3 linked regions of the Xenopus tropicalis genome follow. The protein of the gene in region 2 interacts with the protein of the main gene of each other region in a pairwise test. Links are inferred from orthologs where the notes say so. Each region holds a gene or a part of one and is shown on either strand. Other genes may lie near its edges. The genes, in order: g2e3, wdr6 and ptpn3.

Evidence for each region.
Region 1: the proteins of wdr6 (region 2) and g2e3 interact in a two-hybrid assay, tested with the Homo sapiens proteins (2 studies listed by BioGRID and IntAct). The two-hybrid records come from large-scale screens. The link is inferred for Xenopus tropicalis from reciprocal best matches to the Homo sapiens genes WDR6 and G2E3.
Region 3: the proteins of wdr6 (region 2) and ptpn3 interact in binary tests that used the Homo sapiens proteins (3 or more experiments, as listed by UniProt). The two-hybrid records come from large-scale screens. The link is inferred for Xenopus tropicalis from reciprocal best matches to the Homo sapiens genes WDR6 and PTPN3.

What each region holds. Positions count from the first base shown.
Region 1 is NC_030684.2:113,027,571-113,033,093, forward strand, and holds the start of g2e3 (G2/M phase-specific E3 ubiquitin-protein ligase), read left to right. Parts: upstream 1-1,721; 5' UTR 1,722-1,909; intron 1,910-4,228; 5' UTR 4,229-4,252; coding exon 4,253-4,289; intron 4,290-4,432; coding exon 4,433-4,530; intron 4,531-5,074; coding exon 5,075-5,176; intron 5,177-5,523. UniProt on the Homo sapiens protein: E3 ubiquitin-protein ligase which accepts ubiquitin from an E2 ubiquitin-conjugating enzyme in the form of a thioester and then directly transfers the ubiquitin to targeted substrates. Essential in early embryonic development to prevent apoptotic death.
Region 2 is NC_030680.2:136,673,925-136,678,972, reverse strand, and holds part of wdr6 (WD repeat-containing protein 6), read right to left. Parts: intron 4,161-5,048; coding exon 1,706-4,160; intron 843-1,705; coding exon 747-842; intron 1-746. UniProt on the Homo sapiens protein: Together with methyltransferase FTSJ1, methylates the 2'-O-ribose of nucleotides at position 34 of the tRNA anticodon loop of substrate tRNAs. Required for the correct positioning of the substrate tRNA for methylation.
Region 3 is NC_030682.2:75,075,269-75,081,049, reverse strand, and holds the start of ptpn3 (tyrosine-protein phosphatase non-receptor type 3), read right to left. Parts: upstream 3,353-5,781; 5' UTR 3,176-3,352; intron 1-3,175.

The sequences.
Region 1 (5,523 bases), on a different chromosome or scaffold from region 2:
CTTCTGGCAATGCATTTTTTGGTATATTGTAGAATTCTGGGCCAAATAAATTGAATCGAATTGAGTCCACAACACCAAGCCTTATAGCTTAGGAAAAAAATTATTTCTAACAATAAAAACTTACAGAGTCAGAGCAGATACAAATGACTAGCAACAGAAGAGTGACTGGAAGGCAGATAAAGGCTAACCAAAGTCTTTGTGCTTCAGTGGTGGTAATCTGATAGCCTTGCCCACAGTTGGAGCTCAAATTGTTCGGACCTTCTCGGTGGTAGGAGTAAGGAATGAGCTCTCTCACTCAAAATTTCAGCCAGTTTATATACAGATCTTAGAATAATAAACCGCTTTACATAATATATCCAACTGCCGAATAGTTAGGCACCCCCAAGTGACTTAGATCGCTTACCTTTTACCCCGGGCTGGTGCCCCTGTTAGGAGAAAACCGCACCAGCCCGGGGTACCTGCAGCGCTTCCTTCTTCCTGTATCGCCGCGCGCGCATGCGCAGTAGGGTGAATAGTGGAACTTTAACAGAGAAGTCGGCTTTTCACTCTACTGTGCGCCTGTCATTTAGTCGTTGTAAAACAAAGCAGGAGGGAGGAAGCGCTCCGCTGCAGGTACCCCGGGCTGGTGCTGTTTTCTTTTAACAGGGTCACCAGCCCGGGGTACAAGGTAAAGCGATTAAAGTCACTTGGGGGTGCCTAATATTTTGGCACCCCCAAGTGACTTTGCCTTTCCTTCTCCTTGAAGTCCCTGTGTGTGTAGTACCCTTTCTTTATATATATATCATGAATATATGACAAAAACAACATATATCTATTTCCCTATACATACCATTTAAATATTTCAACATATAAGATAAAATATATGTACCCCCTTTGCTCTTTAATATGTATAAATTAGCCAAAAATATTCTATTGTGCCTAAAGCTCAGGGTTATAATGACCCTTCTCACATATCCTAAAATAACCTTTTTGACCCAATAGTTCTTCATCAGAGAATTTTGACGTATCTCCTATTCTGTAGATCTCTCTCCAGACCCCCAATCCTCATAAAACAGGGATGGTGGGCTACAATGCACAGGCCCAGACTGGCAATCTGTGGGTTCCCTGTGTGTAATTGTGTACATTGTAAGATTGTACAGCGCTGCGTACCCTTGTAGCGCTTTATAAATAAAGTTATACATACATACATTCTGGCAAATAGTCAGAGGGGCTGCTGTAAGATGCCAAAGTCACTATTTATTAGGCTGTTCGGGCCTCAGTGTAATTGAAGTGTCAGGGTCTATATTCAATCCCAGTCCAAAAAGATGGGCTGGGGATGTTCTTTTCTTCATAGGGCTAATGTCCATCAGTGCAACAGCTCTATACGTTACGTACACTAATGTTCAGTGTAACTATGAAACAAGGGCATTATAACTACCACTTACAAATGTCTATACGAATTAGAAGCCTCTAGTCACAACGGAAGAAGAAGCATTATGCCACCACCCACAATCCAATTTTAGTCCTACATTCCTAAACTAATGTAAAAAAACAACGTTATGGAATGCTGATATCATCAACTGCAGCGACGCAAAGACGCCTAACAACAAACCTAATCGTAATGGTCTCTCAAATGAGTCGTGTTTGCGTTCCAAATGGCACCGGAAGTCATGTACACAAAAAAAGGCATTGAAAGCGAGGCTTGAGCGCAAAGGGAATCCCGCCTTCTGATGACGTACAGGTGCCTCCTCCAATGGTAATTCCGTGTTGTTGAGAGGGTTCCTAGATGGTGCCGGATGTTAGGGTTTGAATTTGTGGGCAGTTTTAAAACATCGATCGTGGGAAGTGTAAGTTGAAGGTATAGGAACAGGAACGGAACCGAACACCGCAATCTTTGGAATTGGAAGGCAGCGCAGTGTGGCGCATTCAGGTACTGTACTGGGTATGTGGCTGGATCTTTGTATTGGGACGTGCTGGCTGCCACTTAGCGCGCAATCGGCCTTCTATGTGTCCTCTCGGGTTTATGTGGCACTTTATGTATTTATAAATCCGTTCTACGGACATGGCTCCGTCAGAAACACAAACACACCAAGTATATGCTGATGCTCCCATAGTAACGTGTGTGTTTACATTGAGTTGTAAACTTTATGCCTGTCCCATTCGAGCCTTGTTTGTTATAAGTGGGAAACCAGCCTGCCTCTGAGAGTGTGTGAGCTTGGAGACAGCTAAATGGGAATAAAACCTTATTAAACATTACTAGTGCCCCTCTGGGCATTTTTTAAGGGTTAGTTCATTATGTCTAAATTCCACAGGACTTTCCAATTAGAACATATGGTGCCCTCTGCCCCCCCCCCCCCCCCATCCTGTCATGGTATTGCCCTTGGCTTGTTAGTACTGAACAGCACAACTATGCCCAGCCAAGTACAGTCAGTGGGCACCTGAGAGTGGCAGAGGCAAAGCCCCATCATGCTACATTATAGAATATTGTTTTATACACTAATATAGTGTAAGAGTGCTCTTTACCCAAGATGTCAGGCAAGACTTACTGTGCCTCCATATTCCCAAATGTTTTGAAGGTGTTTGTAAATGGGATCGAGGCATAGCTTATGGTAAATGATAGTTTAATTAACTGTATTCTGTTAATGTAGCAGTGCAGTATAAGAATAAATGTAATAGAATGTTTGGTAGAAACTCACTGAGAACCATTTGCATCTAGGCCAGACATCTGTGTGCTAATTGTATTTGCTAACATTTGGATATGTATGCAGCTTTTGTTTGTATCAGTCTCCTGCAACACAATGCAGGCACATTATGACAACACGGGAAGAATATAATCAAGTGTATAGATATGCATGGAATCCATGAATCCACCCCATGTTTGGGATGAGAACTGCCTGTGTTAATGGTGTCAAGCAGTTACCAATGAAGTGAGAACTAGTAGGTGCGGTTTCAGGCACTTCTCCAGATTGTGAAACAAGGCAGCCAACAAAATGGCCCACAGGGCTCATATTAATATCAGGAACCTGCAAGAAGCACAAAGCTAAAATTTGGTTGCAGCGAGTTACTGCACGAGGGCAGACTTTCCCAACTTGAAATGAGCCACTGTGTGCTCCTTAGGGTGTTTTAGTGTGCCAAGAAATAATAACCTTTAAATTAACACTTTGGAAAAAGAAGTACTGAAAGCAGCACTTCCATACAGTTCCTCTCAGTGAAGCTGCTCTTTGCTTTTTTTTTTTTTTCCAGACTCCAAACATTATTAAAAAAGTGGCATAATAAATACATGGAAGGTTTCCAAAGCCAGTGAGCCTAGCAATCAGATTTACATTTAAATTCCAACCTGGTGAGCTCCAGACAAAAATATCATTCATTCTATGCACATGTTGTAACAATGCATGGAGCTGCCACTTTGCTTTCTTAAAAGACAGCAAGTAAGCTGGGTTCAGGGGAGGTGCAGACTGAAATGCAAATGTAAACGCTAATATCCAAAGACTGTGTCTCTATTGACAGACCTCTATTGCTTGGGGAACTGCATATTTAGGGAGTCGGAGTGAAAAGGGTATGCTGGACTGGGGCTGGAGTAAGATTATTTTCAAAATGTCACTTTTTCTCTATTGTACCACTTCCCATTATCCACTGTTCTACTGCTGTTCTTTCCATTCATTACTACTTTTCTGCAGTGCCCACATAGATCTGTTTTTCTTTCCAATTTAGTGCCTGATGTGGCCAGTGTTGACTTATCTCTGCTTTCCTTTATTGCTCATTTTGCTTTTTTCTGCTGTGCTCCACTAAGTAATGTTGACAAAGCACAGGCAGGGGAGCCAGCACAACATGCAGCTAAAAGCTGAGGTCAGGAAGCAGCACTAGGTACATGATTCTATGATGTGACCAGGGCCTATCTGTTTTGTGAGATACTGCTGACCAACTGAACAGGTGTATACATTAACATAAAGTTCATCTCCTAGGGGTATATGACAAACAGTAACCCCAATTGTTAGCAGTATATGTCAACCTTACAATGCAGTGGTGCTTTTTCATCAACTTGACTTGTTATAGTCTGCTTGTAAAATGTAGGCTAAATGTGTAGTCATAGACATCTTATTGATGCTTAAATGGTCAGAATCCACTTATATAGCACCAGAAAATTAAGCCGCTCTTTACAGTGGTATATCAACATTGGCAAACAAGGACCTGATGTGACATATGCTTAAATTCTCTTGCAATGCCATATTTATTTTTTTTTCCCCATCAGGTACTTTTAACCTGAGCTGCAAGAATGAGTCGGATCAGACGGAAGTCCTCAAAGAACCTGCGTAAGTATGATGCTCATATTCTCATGCTCCAGAGGCACAATAGACATAGCACATGTAAATCTCCATTCTGTATGCCTAAAGCAGAGCAATAGTGTTACTTCGAAATCTCAGAATAACTTAATTTTGTTATTTCTTCTTTTTAGCCTGCGTGTTTTGTGGCCTTTCAGATGACTGTGCTGAAAAATTTGGGGAGAAAAAGACCTACCCTGAACATGACTTGACCTTGCACTACTACTGTTTGGTAAGTTGTAATAAAACCTTGCCTGACATACAGAATATTACAACATAATTGCCCAAAAGGAAAACTATTATATTTCTACAAGGCCTGTTTTATAGAATAGGACCTAAATGCTCTTTTTTTTTTTTACTAGAGCAATCCGTTTTGTGTCAAGTTATTTTCACCTAAAATCTCATTACTTAAATGTTTCTGCCCACAATGCTGTTAAATATAATGCACTTAACTACATTAACTCATTTCATATAAGGCTGGCTAACAGTTATCCTAGTCTTTTTACCCCTTCCTCTTCACTGCCCTCTGTTCTTTTGCTTAGCATGTTTATTTTATCACTATGCATTGTGGTGTGTAAATAGTTTTACAAATAATACCTTTTGCCCCTGTTTAGCTCTTACATGTTTTATATTTATAATGATGACACTAGTGCAAGGTGCAGATAAGTTAATACAGTTTTCTTATTTTTTTTTTTTTCAACTGCTAATATGTATGCTTTACCTGTGCCTTGATTACGAAATATGAAAATACATCATGTAATGTGCTTTTTTTTCAGCTGCTGTCCAGTGGTATCTGGCAAAGAGGAAAGGAGAATGAAGGAATTTATGGGTTCCTTGTGTGTGACATTAAGAAAGAGGTTAACAGAGCAAACAAGTTGGTAAGAGTCCAGACCATATTATATTATAAAATCTTTCTGCCTCTTCAAAACCTAATTCTACAATAGTAGGAGTTCTAGTTATTTGCTTTTGATTTTCTATTTCCCTGAAACATGTAGTCTTGCCAGTACTTTTTATCCAAACTAATAAACCCAAATGGACTTTTGAGTGAGATGTAGCTTTGCAAGAAGTAAGATGTAGCTTTGCAAAGACGCGCCTGCCAGAGGTTGCTTATTCTTGCCTTGTTCCTTTTAAGATTTTGCAGGCAACCCCTTAATAAATTTCAGGTCGTTGGTTTATGATCCTAGAATAATCATACAATTTTGTTTTCTTTTTTTTTTTTTTTACC
Region 2 (5,048 bases):
GTCATACTGTATGGGTTGTAGCTATTCTGCTCCTCCAAGGCTTTGCCATGCAGCATTTAAAGGAAAACTATACCCCCAGAATGAATACTTACACAACAGATAGGTCACTTAACATAATATAAACTATTAAGAATGGCCAAACTGGGAATATATATATATCAGTAAATATTGCCCTTTTACATCCTTTCCCTTGAGCCGCCATTTAGTGATGGGCTGTGTGCTCCCTCAGAGATCAGCTGACAGGAAATAATGCAGCTCTGACTGTAACAGGAAGTAGTGTGGGAGCAAAAGGCAGAACTCTGCCCATTCATTGGCTGATGGGGCCTAGCATGTATGTGTGCCTTGGCTTGTTTGTGTGCAATGTGAATCCAATGATCCCAGCAGGAGGCCCTTAATTCTTAAAATGGCAATTTTCTATTTAGGATTACCCAATAGCACATACTACTAAAAAAGTATATTTTTATGAAAATGGTTTATTTAGATGAAGCAGGGCTTTACATATGAGCTGGTTTATACAATATATTTTTATAGAGACCTACAGTGTTTGGGGGTATAGTTTTTCTTTAAGTCAGTCAGCACCAGCAAGAAATACTGGATATACTCACATCAGACATGGTTTAATAAGTGAATACAATCTGATAGGTTCACCTGTACAATAGTGCACTATTTGGTGGGACCTGAGGACAAACTTGGGGACCTAAAACCCCTTTTGTCAGTTATTTACCAGATGCCAGTGTAGTACACACCTTACAGATCCATCACTGCAGGCTGCAGCAAGAAACACCAAACTGGAAGGTGGGTTGTCACGAACCTCCTCACCAACCACTGTGATTGCCATGTACCTGAAAGGATGGATGGAACATTAGAAGATGTTAAATACATTGCTATTGCAGCAGAACTTCACTGTATCTGAAGAACTGATTTAGAAAACAATGCAGTAGTTCAGTTTATAAAACCACTTCTGGCACCTCAGTCTCTTAGGGCAATGGCACAATGGGAGGCAGTTTCTAAGTCTATAATATTAAAAGCATACACCTTTTAAGGAAAGCTTTGATTGTAAGCTCTAAAGAGCAATTTAGACTTTATGTAACTTGACCCAATGTCCAAATTTTCCAACAGAAGGCTACACAGTGCAGCACCACCTGATAAGTGTTTCTGCTTGTCAGGAATCAATCTGTGGGCTCACAGTAACCAACAGGGCCATTGACTTTATTACTACAGTTAGACTGATCATTAGCGCCACCTACCGCCCACAATGAGAAGTACATATAATGTATCAAAATCTTTCCTTTCATAAATGCTGCACATTTTATTTAATTAAAACACAGAAATTGTGGTCCCATTTCTTCCTTATAAATATCCACTATAAGACACTCGTTCATCATGGTCATAGTTGCCACACATGCTAAAGGCAACAGATTTTACATTTATTTGTTGTTGTTTAACTATGTTGCAAAGTTCATACTTTGGTGGCCCTTTGAACTGGATGAAGTAGGACTATTATTTGTTTGCCCCTAGGCCTCAAATGCCATTGACAGGCAATAACCGTGCCTTTAACACTGTAAGCATCACTACCAAAACTGCATCTTGGAAAAGAGTGAAATTCCCTATTAAATATATTTCTATGATGGAATCAGCTAACTATAAATGAACAGATGCGCTATAGTGACACACTGAGGCTTGATGAGATGACTGGACAAGTTACCTGGTTTCTGGATCCATCTTGACAAGTCTGTGCTTATTCTTCATTCGGTCCCAGTGCTCATCCAGTCTGTGGGACGCAAGGTGGATTACTTGGCACAAGACACTTTCTTCATCCTTGCCTTGGTTAATCTGTATATGATAGCACTCTATCTCTGCCCTCCCTCCTGCACTGAACAGCACGGCAGATAGGCTGCTGTCCTGCTGGAAACAAGGCTTAGTTTGTGCTAAAGCCAGGGCTTTTACACTAGAGATATGATCGCTAATTGTTGAAAGTTGGTACAGACTGTTTGTTGCCGCATTGAAGCATAATATGTTCACAGTGGTGTCTTCGCTGCTTGTTAATAAAACATGTAGGTGCTCGTAAGTTTTAAGGGACCCCGCGTATTTGACACAGGTTATTTCTCTGCCATGCACTGGCTCTTTTAATATGCTTTGGGTTTTCCCAACCGGGTGGCTCAAATAGGCAAAAATATCACAAGACTTGATATAAGCAAATACCTCAGTGTGTTCTTCTTTTCTGTAACTCCATGACCTATGCCCTCCTCCACATGGGACACAATGAAGCTTCTCATTGGTTCTTGTACTCCAAACCACAAAGTCAGTGGCATGGAAACCCATCACTAACAAATTGCCATCAGCAGTAAATGACAGGCGCTCTATCCATTCCATTCCCTTGCAGGACTTAAGTTTGCGCAGCAGAGTTAGCTGGCCTCTCTCTACCTTCAGCTGACGGTAAAATCCATCCCGCCCTGTGCTGTACACAAACCCACTGTGGCAACTGATGGATGTTACCCCTAACTTGCCATGAATGCCAAACAAAAGTGAAACAGGACCCTCCACAGATAGCACTGAGCAGGCAGTTGAGGGACAGTTGGGTCTTTGTTCACCTACAAAATCATCTACATTCTCCTTCAAATGTAAGGCACCACTTTCACTCTGAATGGCCCCCTGGAAGAGGTCTTGTCCTCTGTTTGTGGCATTCATGGGAAATAACATTAATGAGCCTCTACGATCCCCACACACTATGAATTCCTCATCAGGGAGGAAGGCCACACTGGTATGCCACCTCTGCTTACATGCTGGCAAAACAAACCGACCCTTTTCTGCCACAGATTCAACATATCCAGAAACACACGTGACCTCCAAGCACACCATCAGACCGTATGGGCCAGATGAGAAAAGACCGCAAGTGAATGACCCAGGGCATAAAGGCGCTACCCAGCTCAGGCTATGTATTTTACCCTGGTGACATTTAAGGTCCTTGAAAATTTTAGGAGAGGAAAGACTAAAAATCTTGATTTCCCCTGTTATGTTCCCAATAGCGCATAAGACATTGTTAGATGTTTTATAAATATCAAGTTGACAGTAGGATTTATAGTTCTCATCTGTGAGAATAAAACTCCACTTTTTGGAAATAAAATCGTATGTATAGATGGAACCTAAATCTGTCATAACAATGAGCAAAGTGGTATCTACCATAGCAATGGCCTTTGGAGCCCCTGGGCTATGAGATGAACTAAATTGTAATGAAAGGAGCTCGTTGGACCTAGAAGACTTTCCATTTATTTGCCAGAGTCTAATGGCAGAGTCTGCCCCTCCAGTAGCTACCAAATCTTCCCGGCCTTGTACAGCAACTGCTCTGATGCCTCGACCTTTGTGGCCTTTGAAATGACTGACAATGTCCCCCTGGTAATTCCACACGATGCACGCGGAGTCCTCCCCTATGCTGATAATGTTTTCATGAAGCAGCTTTACTGACCACACTCGAGACTGATGCCCATACAACACAAGAAGGCACTTGACATCAAAACTCTTAGCCACAAGGTCGCCGACATCCCAAATCCTAAGACTGCGGTCATCAGAGGCGGAAGCTAAAAGACCTCTTTTCTTTTTATAAAAGATGCTAAATATGACACCATTGTGGCCGCTTATCCTTTGCCTTGGTTCTGTTCGTCCATCTTTATTTGTTGGATCTGACACTCCCCAAACAACTAGCTGGTTAAAAACGGTCCCGGAAACCAGCACCAGTTCCTCCCAGCTGTGACCGTAGAAACAAGCAGAGTACAAGATGCATTTCTCAGCACAATGGACCTCTTTTAGAACCTTCCCACTTAAGAAATCATAAAGAGCCACGGAGTTGTGGCCTAGGGCTAAACCAAGGTACGCTGCTGGTTTTAGGCAGTCTCCAAGCCACTGTACATCCCAAATCCAGTCATGTAGTTCTCTGAGCATACAGATTTCTGTTAGGCTCACGTCATCATCACTGATGTTCAGCTGCAGAACGATAAGCCCCTTGCTTCCAAACACAGCAACTATCATGGGTTCACCTTCAACCGTAGCAGAAGAATTGAGCTTTATGCCATGGATAGTGTAACCTTGGAGAACATTCTGCCTTTTCCTATGTGAGATAAGGTGATCTTTCTCCAAACTATACACAGTGAGATAAGGGCCTTCACCTGCAATGAATATAAAAATATAATTTACCCACACTCCATGTAAAACCCCAGGGGCAGCTTGCAAAAAGGGGTTGGTAACAAGCCAAGCTGAATGGCCAATTCTGCTGAATTGACACATTTACATCTTACAGTTCTCATAAACTATGATCCACAGTTAAGCTAAACAGGCCCCAATGCATTTTGACAGAAGACATTAGACAACTGAGCTGGATGTGCCACCCATTGTTGTTTTAATAAGTGAATATAAAATTGATAAAAGTGCTATTTTAATCATTTCTGCAATTTGCATTATTAATTTATTTTTAATTTGAAGAAATTAATGGAAATATGTACTGTTAATATAAAGAATTTTGCTACAACAGCACCACCTGCTGGTCAGTTTCCAACCATCATCAATAATGAATATTATTCAATAATAAATATGAATTGCAAAGGTGCTTAGGATAGCACTCTCATCAACTTTACATTTACTTATTCAAAGGTTAACTTATCCTTTAAAGGTAAAAAGTTGGAAATTAAAACATTTGCTGTAAAGAAAGAGTAGGAATTGAATAGCAAAAGAGAGAGGAGTGTGACCAACTTTGGGTAACGCTCTTTGAAATGGTGAAACCTTAAGCTTTCAGTGAATAAACAAGGATTTAATGGGTCAACTGTGCAATAAAGAAGTTCTTCTCTGTGGTGTGCAAGAAAGATGAACCCACAACAAGAACAAGGAACCAGGGTTTGCAGGTTCTTTTTATTTCACTACAACCACACTCTCTAGCCTCAGATGTGATCCTTGGTTATAGGGTTTCCATCAGATGCTAAAGTGCAAATGTATTAGCTGCTTTTTTTTTTTTACTGCTAAATATTCAATTTTAGCAGCAATTCTGCAGCCATAACCCAGTT
Region 3 (5,781 bases), on a different chromosome or scaffold from region 2:
GCGCGCTCGCAGACCCCCCGCACTGTCACGCACGCATGCGCACTCGGGGGGGGGGCGTGTGTCCAGGGGCGGCCTCGGGGCGGCAAATTTGTAAATCCAGCCCTGGTTAAGAGTACAATCTTAAAGGAGAAAGAAAGGCAAAAACTAAGTAAGCTTTATCAGAAAGGTCTATGTAAATACAGCCATAAGCACTCACAGAAACGCTGCACTGACTTCTCTGAAAAAAAGATTAGTTGTATCTGTAATTCCTGTGCCACAGACACGCAGCTTTCTGTTCTCTGCTCTTTCCTGCTCCCCCCTCCCTCAAGAATGCTAAGAACTCACTCCCCCCCCTTAGGAATGTGGATCTGAGCCAATCAGCAGGAAGTTGACTCATAGGCTTACTAACTGAGCATGTTCAGTTTGGTCTCGGTGTCTGTGCAGGAGCGAGGATTATGGGAACTTTCTTTACACAGCTCAGCGTTTTTTCTTCATGTTTGGCTTCAGATCTTCTGAACAGGTGAAATATGGGGAGACTTAAGGGCACTATTGAGACAACTGAAGGTATGCCTGCAGTTTGAGATTAACTCTTTACTAGCCTTTCCTTCTCCTTTAATGAATGTGCCAGGCTCGTATAAGCCTTGTATATTTCCCTCTTTTCGTCCCCTTTTCTATCTCTATATTGCTGATGTTAACACCTTAATAAAAAAAAAAAAAAGAAAGAAAATGTTTTGAATCAAATGTATTTAATTGGTTCTCTTTATTGTCAGGCCTGCTGTAGTTGCTTATATTTCACTTCACAGATTTTAATTTAATTAGTATCTTTATATTTGATAAACAAATTCAAGCAATAGAATGATTCCTACTCTGCAGCATGAACCTTTATTAATGGCTATTTTCAACAGATTTTACCTATTTTAGGTTGCAACTAATATCCACAAGACATAAGATTGTACTAAAAGTGTAACATACTACAGGTATGGGATCCCTTATCTGAAAACCCATTATCCAGAAAGTTCCGAATTATGGAAAGGCCATCTCCCATAGACTCCATTATAAGAAAATAATTCTGTAATTATTCTGTAATTCTGTAATTATAAAACAGTACCTTGTACTTGATCCAAACTGAGATATAATTAATCCTTACTGGATGCAAAACAAGCCTATTGGGTTTATTCAATGTTTAAATGATTTTTAGCAGACTTAAGTTATGGAGATCCAAATTACAGAAAGATCCCTTATCCGGAAAACCACAGGTCCCGAGCATTCTGGATAACAGGTCTAATTCCTGTACAAGTTTGAGAGCCTCAGTGCTAATTTACTGAATTTCTGGGTTAAGATGTATAAATGTAGATGTATTGTGATACATTGCTTACAGTTTAGGTCTAGGTCTAATTCTGCAATGAAAAGGAACATCTATGAATTGCCATTTAAACTTCTATTCACAACCTTCTGAAAAATGGCCCATTTTAATTTTTTATAATAACTCCAGCACAATGAATTATAAAAGCAGGTGCTAAATTTCAACTGTCAGTAGAAACCCAATCAGCAATTATTTTTTAGCAGTCTACAGAAACCATATTGATTGTTATTGTGGTTTACTGTGTCAAATGCTTTAGCAAAGTCAAAGTAGATCACATCCACCAGTTTGGCAAGATCTGTTACGCAGATCTAGGGTTTAATAAGCATAAAGTTGCACACATTCAAATACAAAAGGACTTGCAACAACACACCCCTTCAACATCTACATGTGCAAACAGGATGGTTGCTTCTACACTTCTGCATGAGGTGCAAAGTGCAAACCACACAACAAACTTGCCTTGAAAAGGAGTAACTTCCAGGGCTCACTGTCTGCATGTTGTGCCTACACATGCAACTGACGTGCACTTAATCCATCACAGACAAATGCCATTTTTTCTGACCCAGTGCTGTGCCACCACTGTTGCTTGATATTTATTTCTCACTTACACATCAGTGAGCATCTTAAAGTTATATCAATTCTAAATGAAAAAATAAAGGCTCAATATAGTACACTCTGTACTAATTGGCTCTACAGAAACTGTCATTGGGAACAAAGTGACTGGATTAAATTGTCAATGCCTGTAAAGGAAAAACTTTTTGACAAGAGAGACAATTACAATCTCTCTCACACCAAAAACCCTTCTTACATGGATCTTTCAAGATACAATACAGCATATGCTATATATCATGATTAAACAAAATATATACTATGAGAATTTATAAAAAGGAAGTAACATCCCTACACTAAGATAAATATTGATGTTCATAACAACACTTTTAAATAAATGTAAAATAAAGCCAAGCAAGCCACTAATACTATGTTACATTCCCAAACCTAACCAGGTCTTTTAATTAAAGGGCTAAGGCCAGTAAGGGGGGCACATGAGTGTAAGGGACATAACAGGACTTACATGACTTTAAATATAACAAAGTGTACTTATTGAATATGAAAGTGTATTTTGATTAAGTGACTGAAATATGGTGTATGGAAACAATAATAATGTATGAAATTTAATTCAAGTAAGAAAAATGCATCTTCTTCAAACCTTGGCTACAGTTGTCTTGTTCACTGAGCAATCCTTGTTGTCTCAACAATCCCTATAAAGTCAGTGGTGAAACTACCAAAGTCAGATTGCTGAGCAAGTTATGTTGGCTCAGGAGAGGAGAGGCTTGGCAGGGCCTTCCCATACCTGTCACTTCCCTACTACTGCGCATAATATGGCCCAACTGCTAAGTCTATACCACAGAACATATATACACACATACTGCCACCAGAACACAATATGACTTTGTCTGAAACGTACTAAAATCTGAGGCATGTAATTTGCCAAACAGAAACAGAGTACGGTACCACTTTGAGAGAAAAAACTTTTACAGCAGTGTGTTGTTCTTTTCACATATCATTTTAGCATTTGGGTGTGATTACAATTACAGATATAATTCTATGCACAGCTTTCCTTAATAATACATACTGTTTTCCTCTAAACATCTTAAGCAATCGTGTGCGCAGTGTTAGCACCAGCCTGCAGGTAGGCGACGAGCCAAGCCCCTCAGTATGGCCCGTGGGGGAAATGACAGGCTGACTCACACCTACAGTGCGCAATTGTGACCGAGGCACAGTCTGTTGCTTCCGTGCAGCACCAGCGCCTTGTCTATTCCTACTGCAGTGATTTACCTGCACCATTCAGATCCTCCTCCCGAATCGCTCTGGCCAACCCAGCACAGCCCGACACTCCTGCCACAGCCGAAAGGACAAATCCAGGGCAGTTTTTGTATCGTCCTCTGGATCCTGACAAAAAAAGCAGGTGGTGGTATATCTCCCTTTTTCTTCTTTTCTATTACAGGAAGCCAGACCTCTGCACTGCTGTCCCACTCCAACACACAAGCCTCCTCCTTTCTTTCTCCACCTTCCCCCTTCCTCTTGTCGGTGCGGGGCTCCACCTATCAGGCTGTCTATGTATATTTTATTATCATTGATTAGCCTAACAGCAGCCTTCTCAGTACTAATATCTAGTGTAATCCATTTAGGGAAAAAGCTCGTCTGTTTGATGGCTTCTCCTTTCCTTTTCTCAGCCCTCCTCTGTGTGTGACATCAGCTGGATCCTCCCCTGAGCCTCTTGAGCTGCTCTCCAAAAGAAAATATATCAACAGAATGTAGATTGCACTCCCCCAGGCTCATTCTTCTGCCCGAGCGTGCTGCTGACTGTGTTCTGGTGGAATCTCTAGCGCTCTAAGCTGAGTGTCACTCTAAACCTTCTGCCATTCCGTGAGGAGCATGAGGTTATGTGCTGCTGTTACATGTACAGGCACAGTGCATTAGCATGGGTATCCTAATCAGAGCAGACAGTCACTCGCTAGAATTATGTTCAGTTGCAGTTCCATTTCACCTTATATGTACAGTTTGTATTGTTTTCTACTCTTTTTTCTTTAATCCCAGCTGATGAAGTTGTGAAAATGCCCTAATTAAACGTATGGTAGATATTCAGTGTTAGCTATACCTTTAATTGTTTGATTCTCTGCTACTAAAATACTACAATATGTGATTATTCACAAATCTTGTTATAGTATAGTTGTAGTTATATCAATGTAATGGTTTTGCCATGCCATTATTTTTATCTGACTGCTAATAATGTGGGACAAACCACATGAATAGCGATGAGCGAATTTTCTCGTCAGGCATGGATTTGCAGCGAATTTTTGCATTTCGCCATTGGAGAATTGTTTCGCAAAACTTCAGTGAAAAATCGTTACTTTTAGTATGACGTAGAGCAGGGTTAGGAAGGAGAGAGGGTGCCATGTAGCATGGGATGTACCTTCCATTTGGTATAGTATGTTTTGTTTTTTGAATTTTGTATTTAAATTCTGAGTCAATAAATGGTTGTGTTTCTCACTGAATAATGTGTTTAATTATTGTCCCCAACCTTTCATACTCGTGATCCACAGTCAAATGTAAAAAGACTTGGAGAGCAACACAAGCATCATAAAAGTTCATGGAGGTGCCAAATAAGGGCTGTGATTGGCTATTATCAGCTTACAGGGGCTTTATTTGGTAGGAAATCTTGTTTTTATTCAACCAAAACTTGCCCTCCAAGTCAGGAATTCATAAATAACTACCTGGTTTGGGGGCACTGAGAGCAACATCCAAGGGGTTGGGGAGCAACATGTTGCCCCCGAGTCACTGGTTGGGGATCACTGACGTAGAGAGTAATATTCTGAGACAATTTGCAGTTGGTCTTCATTTTTTTTATTTGTAGTTTTTTTAGTTATTTTACTTTTTGTTCAGCAGCTCTGCAGTTTGTAGTTTAAGCAGCTTTTTGGTTGCTAGGATCCAATTTACCTTAGCGGCCAGGGAGCAATTTGAATGAAAGGATGGTAAATGAATAAGAGAGGACCTAAATTTAAAAACAATTAACATTGACAATTAAACTGTAGCCTCACCAAGTAATAGTTTTTTGGCTGCTGGGGACTGTGACTCCCATTTGAAAGCTGCAAAGAGTTAGAAGAAAAAGGCAAGTATTTTAAAAACTATAAGAAATAAATAATGAAGACCAATGGACAAGTTGCTTAGAATAGGCATTTCTATAACATACTAAAAGATAATTTAAAGGTGAGCCACCCTTATTATTAACTATATAGCATGTTTATGATTTTAGTTACCTTCCCTGCAGTATTGTATGTCAGTTAGAGAATGTTACACGTTAGTCTTTTATAATGCCATAGTTGGCTGTACAGTAGAATTACATTCCTTATGATATTTCTAGGCAGGTGTTTGCAACTAAAACATACAACCATGCAAAAATTCTTAAGAGTAGGAACAGATCTGTCGGTGGAGCAATCTAGTGTGATTAGTACCGTTTTTATCTCTGCTACAAGTAGCGACAATCAAAGCTCTCTGCAGGTCCCTTGCAGGCAGGGCCGCTGTTAAAAACTGGGAACCCATGAAAACAAGCACATACAGTATGGCCACTTGTGTTCACTATACAAACAATCATCTAGCAGGTAGGTATTTTGGGGACAAAAGGTTGGACTTGTTTGATGTATTTTTTTCAATGTAGGACATAGCTGATAATTCAAAAAATAGATCCCAATATATACAATTATGTGCTATGTAGCCTGTGCCTTTTCTCCTTTTTTCAAGGTTGAATGGCTGCCCCCATGGCTACACAGCAGCTTATTTATATTAGCTATAGTACTGCTACTCTAGCAAATACACAACTTTACCTGTGCAGGGTAAATACTTTAATACACTTTCATTTTTGGCGTTACTGTTCCTTTAAAAAA